Linked DNA regions of Arabidopsis thaliana. The protein of the gene in region 2 interacts with the protein of the main gene of each other region in a biochemical or structural test. Each region holds a gene or a part of one and is shown on either strand. Other genes may lie near its edges.

Region 1 (6,689 bases), on a different chromosome or scaffold from region 2:
TTCCTTTTACCTTACATTGTAACGGCTGGTCCTCTAAAGCATTAAATCTTTCATTTGACTATTACTAGTGATATTTTAATCAATAGAGAATACATACACATCGAAGTAAATAGCAATGCATCTTCCAATGTTAGCAGGTTACTCATGCATTCTTCAGAGTCTTTTACTCTATGCGTTAATTCCAAAGATCCTATTTCACCAATCACAATATCACACAGTAAAAAGGATGAAACCAAGAAGATCCTATCTTCTTACTGATATCTTTGTAGTTTGTATACATTCTACAAAAAAATATGGGCAGTACTACAATCTAATCTCATTTATATTAAATATAACTATCTAAATTAAAACATATATACTTGTGAAACAATTAGTTTAAGAAAGCGAAAAGTATCATGATTTGGGCTGTATATATATACTATCACACCTGTAGAGTGCCTGTTTTCCGTAGACTAATGGGTACGATCGAACCCACTCATCTCACTATCATGATTTGTAATAAATGGTTATGATTCGATTGTCGGCACCATTTGAGAAAAGGAAAGGCTTAGCTTTTTTTTGGGTTATCACTAATTGTTGTTTTATCACTTTTCATTTCATTTTTTAATTTGTTGATTAGGACAGCGTTACTTTATTGTCTTTTGCTTTTAAGTTTTAACCCTTCATAATAGCCTTATGTAGAATTAGTAGTTGGCCTGAAAATCGTTTGATTAGATGCTAGACCTCTTTAATGGTATGAATGATATTCTTAAGGATTTGTTGTAATGGAGATGATGATGATGAAGTGATTTGCTTAGAGGAAACAATGTAAAAGTTAAAAGCAATTGACATACAATATGACTACTTGAACCATAGATGTTCATATATTATACTTGCAAAAAAATGACTGTAACCCATCTACCTTATGCACATGTTTATATCTTTTTTTCATTTTGGTCTTTTCTGTACCATAAAATTGAAACTCTATAATACGATAAAGAACAAAACAAACGGACGAAAATACCCCTCACCTCTCTCAGAAGTCTATTTGCTCTGTTCTGATGAAGAAAAAAAATATTAAGAAAAAGACCTAAAATTAGAGAAGGACTAGCGAGGTCTTGCGTGAGCAGCACGAAGAGTAACTCCGTGCAAGAACTTAGTGAACCCTAAGTAACTCAGCTTCCCGTCACTGCTTCTTACCCAATCTCTCAAGTGTCCATACGCAGACGCACCCACATTCAGTTCCTGTTCAATAACCAGAGTCAAATTCAGTTCCGAAGCCAAACACCGGTCCTATGAATCGAGAGGATTACATTTAACACCATACCCTTGCTAGTTCTTCGATTGTGATCACTCGGTTTCCCTCGGTTTCAAAATGCTGGAAACCTGCCGTTGCTATCTCTTCCCACGCGTCAACAGCTTCTAGTTGATGGATGCTAATTGCTGCTGCACAGAACTCTTCGAAATACATCTTCCTATACGCTAGAGATTCCATCTGCCAAAACAGATGATCATTAGAAACCAAAAGATTGATTCATTTTTCTCTCAAATTTGTTCTCAGGTTCTCACAGTGTGAAGTATTTCAGGAACTCTTGATTCTCTCATTGCGTCTGTTGCGTTTTGCATAAGCGCCTGCGAGGATGGAGCTTATTAAACCTTTTTAGTTTAAAAAAGCCGATGTGACTATTGACCAAAGGCCTTCCTTCAGATTAAGTAACTTACCGTCTTGAAGTTTTCGAGAGAGACGCTACCATCTTTGTTTGGTCCCAACAGCATGAACTGTGCTCTAAGATAGACTAGCTCGTTCTCGGTCAATGCTTTTGCTAGCGCCTAGATTCAATTATTAAACATATGCTTCAATCTTCTAAATCAACTCTTACCAACTTTGTGCCAAAAGAAGAAGAAGAAGAAAGTCATACCTTTAAAGCAGCTCGTCTAAGAGGTGTCGCGTGCAAGTAGGCTTTGACCAACTTATAGATCAAAATGTCTAAAGGAATCACACGACTATCATCCCGTAACCACGGATGAGCTGAAAATAAACATATCATTAGTTCTGTAATGTTCAAAATAATATAACTCAATGATGTGTCAAAAAAAGAAAAAAAAAACTCACTCAAAGCTTGAACTGCAGACATTCGCTTCCTATAGTCTTTGTTGAGAAGTCGTTTCACAAAATCTTTACCTTCTGATGAACAAGAAGGCCAAGGTACGTCATCATAGTTTGGTTCAGTTCTTAGTACAGTGCGAAAGATTCCAGATTCTGTCCGTGCCCAAAAAGGTCGGCTTCCACATAAGAGTATATATGTAATAACTCCAATACTCCATATATCAGCCTCAAGGCTATATGACCTGTGTAAAACTTCAGGCGCGACATAGTAGGCACTTCCAACTATATCATTCAGTCTTTCATCTGCATTGAGGAATTCAATCAAATTTCACTAGTAGGCAGCTATAAGGAAAGTATAGTGACAAGGCCTGAAAGAATGAAAAGTCTTACCAGGTCTAATAAAGTCTGAGAGACCAAAATCAATAAGTTTCAAGTCTGAGTCTTCGCGGCTTGATGTAAATAGAAAATTCTGTTGAACAAGGTAACAGGAGTGTTTAGTAATGATGTGTAATGCTACTGGAGGTAGAGATAGGGAAAGTTTTCTTTGTAAAAACAGACCTCTGGCTTTAAGTCACGGTGCACAACTCCTTGGAGATGACAAAATGAAACAACAGTTAGAATTTGTACGACAATCGCCTTTGCATCATCCTCCGGGTATTTACCACCCCTGAGACAAGAGAATGCAGTGTTTGAGCATAGATATGAATAAATTCTCAGCATTTAACTTGAGGCATATGCAGAGAAACACCTAAAAGAGTAATCAGACATACCTTGCTAAAATTCTGTCCAAAAGTTCTCCACCATCACACAACCTGGTCAAGCAGAACCAAACATCGATTTAAGTAACTGGTTTACAAGGTGTGTCTGATTACAGAGATATGTTCAAAGAAATGCAGTTCAGAAGTGATGTTCTGTGTTACAACATTTAAGTAACAGCCAAAATCCTGAGGAAGAGAGAACATCAAATATCTGATAAAAAAAAATGGAAACAAGACATACTCCATGACTATGTATACGTTATTGGCGTCCTCACATGCATCATAATATTTGATTAAATATTTGTGTCCAGATAATGATTTCAGTAACTTCACCTCCCTGCGAACATCTTCAATTGCAATTGCTGTTGTCATCTGCCAAGTACAGAAAGATAATTCAGTCAACAAATCCTTTTTGCTTGTTCTATTAGAGAGAAGGATAGCACAACTGTCACCAAAATGTGTCAGACCAGCTTCATTACAAAGATAAGCCAAAATCATGAGCTTTCAAAAGTGAAGCCCATACATAAAACATTGTGTCCTAATGCAGACAAAAGGAATGTCAGATTATGGTCTCCCCAGGACGCAGCCAGACAAAGACTTCTCTAGTTACGTTTTTCATGAATCATCTTTTCAAAAAAGGATGAAACAGACAACAAATATCACATGTAACACCATAACATTCTTACAAAATCAACAGCTAAGTAATCAAAACGTAACCTAACTGTGATTACAAGCTTCGAACAAACAAATGTTTGCAGAAGAAAAGCTCATAAACATTAGTACATGAAACTCATTCTTTGATGACTATCCTTGTCCTAATGCTGACAAATCAACAAAAAGTTCACATTTTTGTCTACTCAACTCACTGCCAAACAAAAAATTTACCTATCAAAAGAGACAACATTGTTTGTCTCAAGAGACTCAGCTGGAAGAAAAAGACAATTCACTGTCCCACAGCCATTATCCAAACCCAAGAATCTTACTTTCACTACCTCAACTACGAGAAAATGTAAGCATTACTCGTTCCACATTTCAAAACCCTCCACAGATTCTTGTAGCAGCATCAGCAACAAACAAATCACAATATAAGCTAAAATTCAACACCAATGCAAGCAATCCCAAAATCAAAAACTAGATGTTCAAAAGATTGAGAATTTAAAACCTTAGCCTTGGAGATGATCTTGACAGCAATAGGATGATCCTTAATATCTCCCTTCTTACCACGGCCAGAACAAGTATGACCAAAATGCCCTCGACCCACTTCTTTCCCCAATTCGTACTTAGCACCAAAATTCTTGCCATAACCAAAGCTCTTATCAAGCGACTGCTCCGGCTCAGTTCCTCTCTCCTCAGGGATCGGACCTTCCTTAGGCTTCACTCCAAGACGTTTGATCAAAGAAGCCTTAATGTGTTTGGCTGGAGAAGGCGGCGGGAAAGGCCGTCGGAAAAACCTCCTCGGAGTGGAAGTTCTGGCCGGAGAAGGAGAAACACCAGAAGGAAGAGGGCTCGCTGATCCGTGAGGGAAAGGACTAGGCCAAGGACTCGGATTCGATGACCTAGCTGGAGTGTTCTTAGCTCGACCGTAATTAACCGGAGTTAGAGGCTGAATCTGATTCCCGTCGCCGGAAACAACATAAGTAGTCGTGTTAGCTTCTTCTTCACCATTTTGCTTACTCTGATTAACCTTCCCGTAACATTGCCCCATCTCCCCCACACAATCAAAAATCAAAAGAATTCAAAATTGAAGCAACATAGAGCAAGTAACGAATCAGATCAAAAGGAAGAGAGATCCAAAATTGGAAGAAGAAAACGATAAACGAAAGGAATGAGAGAAGAAGAAGAACAGAGACGACAAGGTAAGTGTTAAAAACTTAGAAGAGACAAAAGTGACAGAGAGAACAGAACGGAACGGAACGGGGACGGTGGTGTTTTTACGTAGTAGAAGGATTGAGAACCGTTGGATTAAAATCTGAGATGTTGAAATGTAAACTTGGAGATCTCAAACCATTTAACTCGTTCTAGTCACTATTCAACAACAACTACCTTCCCCTAATCAGGCATTTTTAGTCTTATACTATTTGATTAACAATTTTGTTTTGTGTTTTGTGAATATGAATATATTTTATTTTGTCCTATGTCTTTTTCTTTTCTTATTATATGATAGTTCGAGTTCTTTTGACTCTTTCTTTTTTCCTTTAATTGTTTTGTCTTTTGTTACTTTTTGGGCTCTTTTGCCGTTTCCTTATATAAATTTGTAAGACATTTTAAACAAAATCAAAATTCCGAAAACGGAGTTTATAAAGAAGATTGGATTCATCAATTCCACGTGGCTTAATATTATTGGATCTAACTAAAACAGAGTTTCTTCCATAACGATTTTTTCACAACATATGATGCGACCTGGTCGGATGGTTCGGAAATGGAGAATATACGGAGTACGTTATCCTACGTGACAATATCTGGGCCGTTAAAAAAATCGCTTTTAAATGTGATTTATTGAGAATTAAACACAAGGGCGTGATTACAGCTTTTTCTCGAATTTGGAAACAATACTTTTCTTTTGTACTTCTAAACATTTTTTTTTTAATTAGTTATCACTCTTTTTCAGGAAAAGTATATATTTTCGACACAAAAGTTATATTATAAAAAAAGTTGAAATTTTTGTCCAAAAAAGAAAGAAAGAAGAAGTTGGAATTAATATGTTTTATCTGTTAATTAATTAAATAAATCCATGTGTAAAGCAATCACACGGAGATACAATATTACAAAGTTATTGTTTTTTTTCTTTGTGATTAAATTTTCTTTACGTTGAAATCAATATGTTTTATACTAGAATCTTGTTAAAAATTGTAATAATTTTCTGTGATTGTGTTTTCACTTTTTTCTTTAGAGATCTCTCGTACTAAAATTAGGGTGACACTAAATCCAATTATGAAATTAAATTATAGTGGTAATTAATAGGTAAAGCGACGTCTATGAGGAGATTTAACACAAACATTACTATCAACTTATCAAATAGGTAAGAAGCAGTTTTTCTTTAAATTTATTTTGAAAGATAAACCTTGATGTAATAAATTAAACAAATTGAAAGTTTAGAAGTTACCGTTTGTTTGTATCAGCAGACATTAGGAAATATATGGTCATTTACACCAATAATTGTCCATAAAGCCGAACAAATGGGTAATAATATAATTTTAAAGTATGTCGAAAATAGAAGGAAAATAAATAAATGTAAATGGGGAATAGAATCCACCTTCAATATTCTATGGTATTTTACAAAATATTGAACCGACTTAAAGTAAGTCCAACAACATGCATTTGTTTAGTTTAATTGGATTTATTATACACCAAAATTATTGTGATTGGAGTACATTTTTTATACAAATTACAAAACTCAAGGCTAACATCGATTACCTCAGAAGTCGACAAATATTTCGTTAAAAAATAGAGAAAGTGAAAAAATCTTGTATTTTCTGTAAATTTTAGCGTATGTATTAATTTGTTATTACCGTCATCTGATATCATAGCGTATGTTTTAAGAACTCTTCGTTTGGATTTATGTCCAATGGTCAATGCTCATTCATATTAATATATTTCTTGTCAGCAGTTTGATAATATAATAAACATGTGTCTAAAAATATTTATCAAATTCACCATTCAAAAATGAGTTATAACTTATACGACACAATATTTCCTTTCAAGTTTATTTTCACAACTACTTCGTAAATTAAACAAATGGTAAACCACGAAAAAAATGGTAGATTTGTTGTCATCCTAATTGTTAGAATTTGTTTTAAGTTATGTTGGTAAATATTTTGCAGAAATTGATTAAATAATAATAATAT
Region 2 (5,249 bases):
AGAGACATTTGTTTTTTTTTCTTCCTCAAGTTTTGTCAGACGCGAAGAATCCTTAAACCCTCGAGTATAGTGAAGTTGCTCACCAGGTGTTCGACGAAATTACTTTCAAATCATTTGGTTCGGTTCTTCATTGGTCCAAATTAACCTGAACCGAAATAACTAAAATTGATTTTAACTATATTTTCAAACTTTAATAAAATATATTAATCCAAGCTAAATGTTCAATCAGTGATTCTAAATTATGCATTAGAATTAGTGTTCAACAAAACGCTAGGTGCTAAACGGGTGGTGACCTTCTGCTTAGTGCCTAGAACGCTTAGTCGGAACCTAAACATTTTAAACGGTTTTAGAATAAAATGATATCTATTTATATACTACTACATGAAATATTAGAAAAAAACATTATAAAAAGCATTCTTGAAAACGAATTTAAATTTAACATTTTAAAATAAGATAAATAAAATAATAAAAGTATAGTTATCTTTATATATAATTTGAAATATTTATTTTGAAAAATTAAAAAAATATTAATATACATTTAGATCCACCTAGCCTGCCCCGCAAACCAGATTAATTTTCATTTTAGTTGTTATCTTATATGAATCAAAATGCAAAAAAAAAAAAACAAATTCTGGATCTTAAGTGGTGAATGCATGCATTAGTAAATAAATCAGCCCTTTTAAGATAATGTTTATTCATAAATAATACACAGAAATGTTTTCAATAGGATGTGAAGTAAATAAAAAGCAGAATAAGCAGAGCAAATCTTTGACTTATCCTAAGACATTGCTTGATAGAGAACACAAACTTTGAATCTTGCAAGAAACACAAATTTGAGTGACATTCAAGATTTTTTCTTGATCTGATGATCATCAAGGATTCCAGAGGATTGTAGTCTCTGCAATCATGGAAGTGACAATGTAAGGATCCATGTTCGAAGCTGGCCTCCTGTCCTCAAAGTATCCTTTCCCTTCTTTCTCCGTATCACGTCCTACTCGGATCGATGCTCCACGGTTCGCAACACCCTACATACAACATTCCAACACACAAAAGAATCACAAAATGTATCGTAATTCGGCTTTTTTACTATTCGAAAACCCGCAAAGATGTTTGTTAGTATACCCAAAGGAAAGTGTTGATGTCAGCAGTCTCGTGGTGTCCTGTGAGACGACGCTCATTGCCTTCACCGTAAGCAGCAATGTGTTCTTTGTGTCTCAGTCCCAATTTATCGATTGCTTTCTTGATGATCTCGTAACCGCCTTCTTCCCTCATTGACTTGGTACTGAAACAATTACCATTTTGGTTTTATGAATCAGCGAAAAGACCATAAAAGAAAACATTTAAGAGATTCTTGACATGTACCTGTAGTTGCAGTGAGCACCAGCACCGTTCCAGTCACCGGGAATCGGTTTCGGGTCAAAAGATACCACTACACCAGCAATCTCTGTGATCCTCTGTTTTAAGAACAAGCTAAGTGTTACTAATCAAAAACTACATAAACAAACATTGAAGTTATAACGTTAAACTTACCTCCAAAATGTAACGAGCGACCCAAATTTCATCAGCAGCCGAGATACCAACAGCTGGACCGACCTGGAACTCCCACTGACCCGGCATGACTTCTCCATTGATGCCACTAATGTTGATCCCAGCGTATAAGCAGGCCTTGTAGTGAGAATCAACAACATCTCTGCCAAAAGATTTGTCTGCTCCAATACCGCAATAGTACGGTCCCTGCAATACATTTTCGCCTAAAATTTTAGAATAACCGACAACGGAAAAGATACAAAACCGATTATATATCCATCTTCTTCACCTGAGGGCCGGGATAACCACCAATAGGCCAACCAACAGGCCACTTCACATCTTTCTGGAGTAAAGTGTATTCTTGCTCAATACCATACCATGGCACTTCAGCTGCAACATCAGGGTTGCTAAAGACCTTAGCCGCAGCGTGTCTTTTGTTAGTCGGGATTGGTTCACCCGCGGGAGTGTACGCATCGCACATGACCTGATCAAAACCATTAAGTTAAGATGGATGTAATAAAGCATGGCTGCAACAAAAAAGGTCAAAACTAAAAGAAACTCACAAGAATGTTGTTTCCTCTACGGAAAGGATCCTTGAATATGGCTTGAGGGCTAAACAAAGATGTACAAAACACAAAAGATTAGTAAACAAGAATCGAAAAAAAAACCAATGAGAAGAATCTGATTTAAGATCAAGAAAGAAAGATTATTAACTATAAGATGACTTCACTGTCTTCACCAGGAGCTTGGCCTGTGCTTGAACCATCATAGTTCCACTTTGGTAGCTGCGAAGGGTCAGTCACTGGTCCAGGTAGAGTCTACATATATAAACCAGAATTACTACCAAAAATAGAGATAGACAAAAGTTGACCTTTTCACAAGATTATCTAGAGAATGAAAAATTACCCTGGCTTTGCTTCTCATGTCCATTCCAGAACCACCAACCCTGATTTGGTATTAAAAGAACACCAACAAGAGACAAAATATTTCAGAAAATTCAATCGTTATGTTTAAAAACAGAGCCAAAAACAGAGCCAGAACAGAGCCAAAAAACAGAGCAAACATCATCAGGGGATAAAAAGTTTTGCAGTATTGGCAGATTCAGGAGCCTAATAGATTTATCAGCAAATTAAACATAGATCTGAAGAATAAACAAAACCAAATTGGCTCTAGAGGACTAAGAACAACCAAAGGCAGACACAAAACCAAAACTATAATCCATACAATCCCAAAAAGTAAAACAGAGTCAAAAGTTGAAAAAACAACACGAACCCATTAGATTTAGGTTTGATACGAGAACATATACACAAACAAAAAACGATTTTTATGAAAGAAACAAAAGAAGAAGACGAACCATATGTATTCAGCAATGATTTTGTCAGTGGAGTCTGAGAGGTTAAGGTTGATGAGATCTGAAACAAGACTCATGGCTACAAATACCAAGGGTTTGGATGATAGTAACAGTAATAAAAATGGAATCAAATCTGTCTCGTGTTTTGATATTTTGGTAGAGAGAGATATGAAGAGTAGTACTTATAGAAGGAGGAGGGGTGGGTGCAGAGATTGAGGAAGAGGGTGACGTGAAGACTTTGGAGACTTTTTGGCTCTCCACAAGGAAAGAAACAAAAAATACAACTAAATATCAGGAATAAAATTATAAAGATTCTTTCGCGGCCCAATGGAATCTCATATTTTTCAGGAATATTAAAGTTTACATATATAGACACACCAGGTTACAATTTTGTATGAGGTCATTGGAATAAAAAGAGAAAGAAATGTAATTATTTAAGGTAAAAATCTCTTTCTGTAAATGCTAAAATAAAATTTGGGAAAAATATTAATATTCTTAATACTACATTTTCTGTGTTATTGATTTTTAAATTATTAATTTTAATTGATACAAACATAATATGATATAACAATATATTTTTTTTTAATATGTGTAAAAAAAATCTTAAATGATATATAAAACAAAACGGACAAGTATAATTGATATATTATTTTATTTGTGCAAAATATATCAATAGATTTAGTATAATAATGTTTTAAACGGTGATTAGGTGGAACCATAATTAAACACTCTAATCATCTTGAAATTAGTATTTGTTTTCTAATGCAACTTACTTAGATTATTATTTTTAAACGAAATTCGCTTACTTAAATTTAGTATTAGATCGAAACCATTTGTCTCACATCTCCGGTTTCTCTCCAATCATTTTATGGGGTTTAAGGTCATTAATCATAAACAAGAATCAAAATAAATCTTTCCTTGAGGAATTTTGTGAAAATATCACGGTGTCATATCAATATCACAAGGTCATTGTTTTGTCTATCGAATCTTCGATCATCTTGAATCTATTCTGGTTTTTTTCCACAATGACTTTTCAACACAAAATATTGTTCTTACTTGACAAGAAAACGAGTACCAAAGAAACCGGAGATACTCTAAATTCTTAGCCATACAAACCCAAGTAAACTATCTAAAACCAAAGATTTTTGTTTTTGTTTTTTTGGTTTATATTCAACTTTATTAAAGATAATGAAACTCAAATATATATTCCGATTAGATAGTTGAGTTGACTTTGTTTTGGGAGCATGTAAGAGGACGTTTATGACGGGCATCGGTTGACTCGGCCCACAACCGTAAGAGTTGAAGTCTAAAATTGTTGACTTTTTTTTTAATTTTCTAAAAATATAATTATTTTTGACAGTTAAAAGTTAATTTCAAATCATATTTAATTATTTATTGAACACACATCTAATATATTCTTTGCAATTATATGATAACTTTTCATTTGAACAAAATTTGTAGTATCAATTCAACGTAGCTCCAATTAGATGACTACAAAGTCTGACATGTGGGATTTGTAAGCTTATAGTTTTAGAGAAGTCATAATGTCTTTCGATAATGTCTTTCGATAGAAGGTTCAAGCCAAAGACATCGATTGATTCGACAAAATTATCAAGATATATCTATCTTCTTATATAAATTCAAGATTCCGGTTAAACGTCTCAAAAGAGTTCTAATCATAAACAAGAAATTCAAAAAACTCTTCGGCTCAGAGGAGAGTGACCAAGAATTTTATCTTCTCCAGGAAGTCATTATTGATACGAATTTTTCTTTGAAACCGAAGTTCCTAAGAGTCAGATATAATTCTCTCATCTCAGTCTCCATTCTAAATTTTGAGGGAGACTGAAAGGGGATTAAGATGAGAGAATTAGGGTTCGGAGATTGAGAGAGAATTAAGATGATTCAGATATTTTCTTTCTAAAAGGAGAGAGGAACCAAAAGAAAAAAAATGTAGCGTGGATTAAGAGTTTAATTGAATATATTTTCTTCTAAATTGTAAATAGGATCTCCAAAACGGAAATGATACGAAAATTTTAGAACTTCTATATAATTTTTTTTTTATATCTTCTCTATGTCTCACTAATTTAGAAAATATAATAAAATCGTTTGATTTTAGTTAACTATGCTTTGGGAAAGATGTAATTTATTAAATATTTAAGAGAATAAACCAGAAAACAATTAACTACTTTTTAAACGATGGATATATAAATCAGAAATTAAAAATAGAGAACCCAAAGTAATAACATAATTTAATTTTTAATTTTTAATTTATATTGGATTAATATATATTCTAAATATTTGTGGTATTATATATTTATTTATATTATTTTTTTGTGCACCCAATTTTATTTATATTTATATTATATTTTTG

The links.
Region 1: of the proteins of GSR 1 (region 2) and CRK3, one has a biochemical effect on the other in vitro, tested with the Arabidopsis thaliana proteins (one study listed by BioGRID).

Annotation. Positions count from the first base shown.
Region 1 is NC_003071.7:19,181,882-19,188,570, forward strand, and holds CRK3 (CDPK-related kinase 3), read right to left. Parts: upstream 4,932-6,689; 5' UTR 4,550-4,931; coding exon 4,007-4,549; exon of another isoform or gene 3,730-4,006; intron 3,217-3,729; coding exon 3,086-3,216; intron 2,899-3,085; coding exon 2,857-2,898; intron 2,754-2,856; coding exon 2,645-2,753; intron 2,556-2,644; coding exon 2,477-2,555; intron 2,390-2,476; coding exon 2,093-2,389; intron 2,009-2,092; coding exon 1,899-2,008; intron 1,810-1,898; coding exon 1,702-1,809; intron 1,612-1,701; coding exon 1,549-1,611; intron 1,475-1,548; coding exon 1,307-1,474; intron 1,225-1,306; coding exon 1,087-1,224; 3' UTR 772-1,086; downstream 1-771. UniProt on the Arabidopsis thaliana protein: May play a role in signal transduction pathways that involve calcium as a second messenger. Serine/threonine kinase that phosphorylates histone H3 an GLN1-1.
Region 2 is NC_003076.8:14,932,702-14,937,950, forward strand, and holds GSR 1 (uncharacterized protein), read right to left. Parts: upstream 3,185-5,249; 5' UTR 2,956-3,184; coding exon 2,882-2,955; intron 2,474-2,881; coding exon 2,434-2,473; intron 2,346-2,433; coding exon 2,242-2,345; intron 2,140-2,241; coding exon 2,091-2,139; intron 2,012-2,090; coding exon 1,817-2,011; intron 1,735-1,816; coding exon 1,531-1,734; intron 1,455-1,530; coding exon 1,363-1,454; intron 1,283-1,362; coding exon 1,123-1,282; intron 1,026-1,122; coding exon 873-1,025; 3' UTR 585-872; downstream 1-584. Other genes in the region: AT5G37590 (Tetratricopeptide repeat (TPR)-like superfamily protein), read right to left, coding at 1-8. UniProt on the Arabidopsis thaliana protein: High-affinity glutamine synthetase which catalyzes the synthesis of glutamine from ammonium and glutamate. May contribute to the homeostatic control of glutamine synthesis in roots.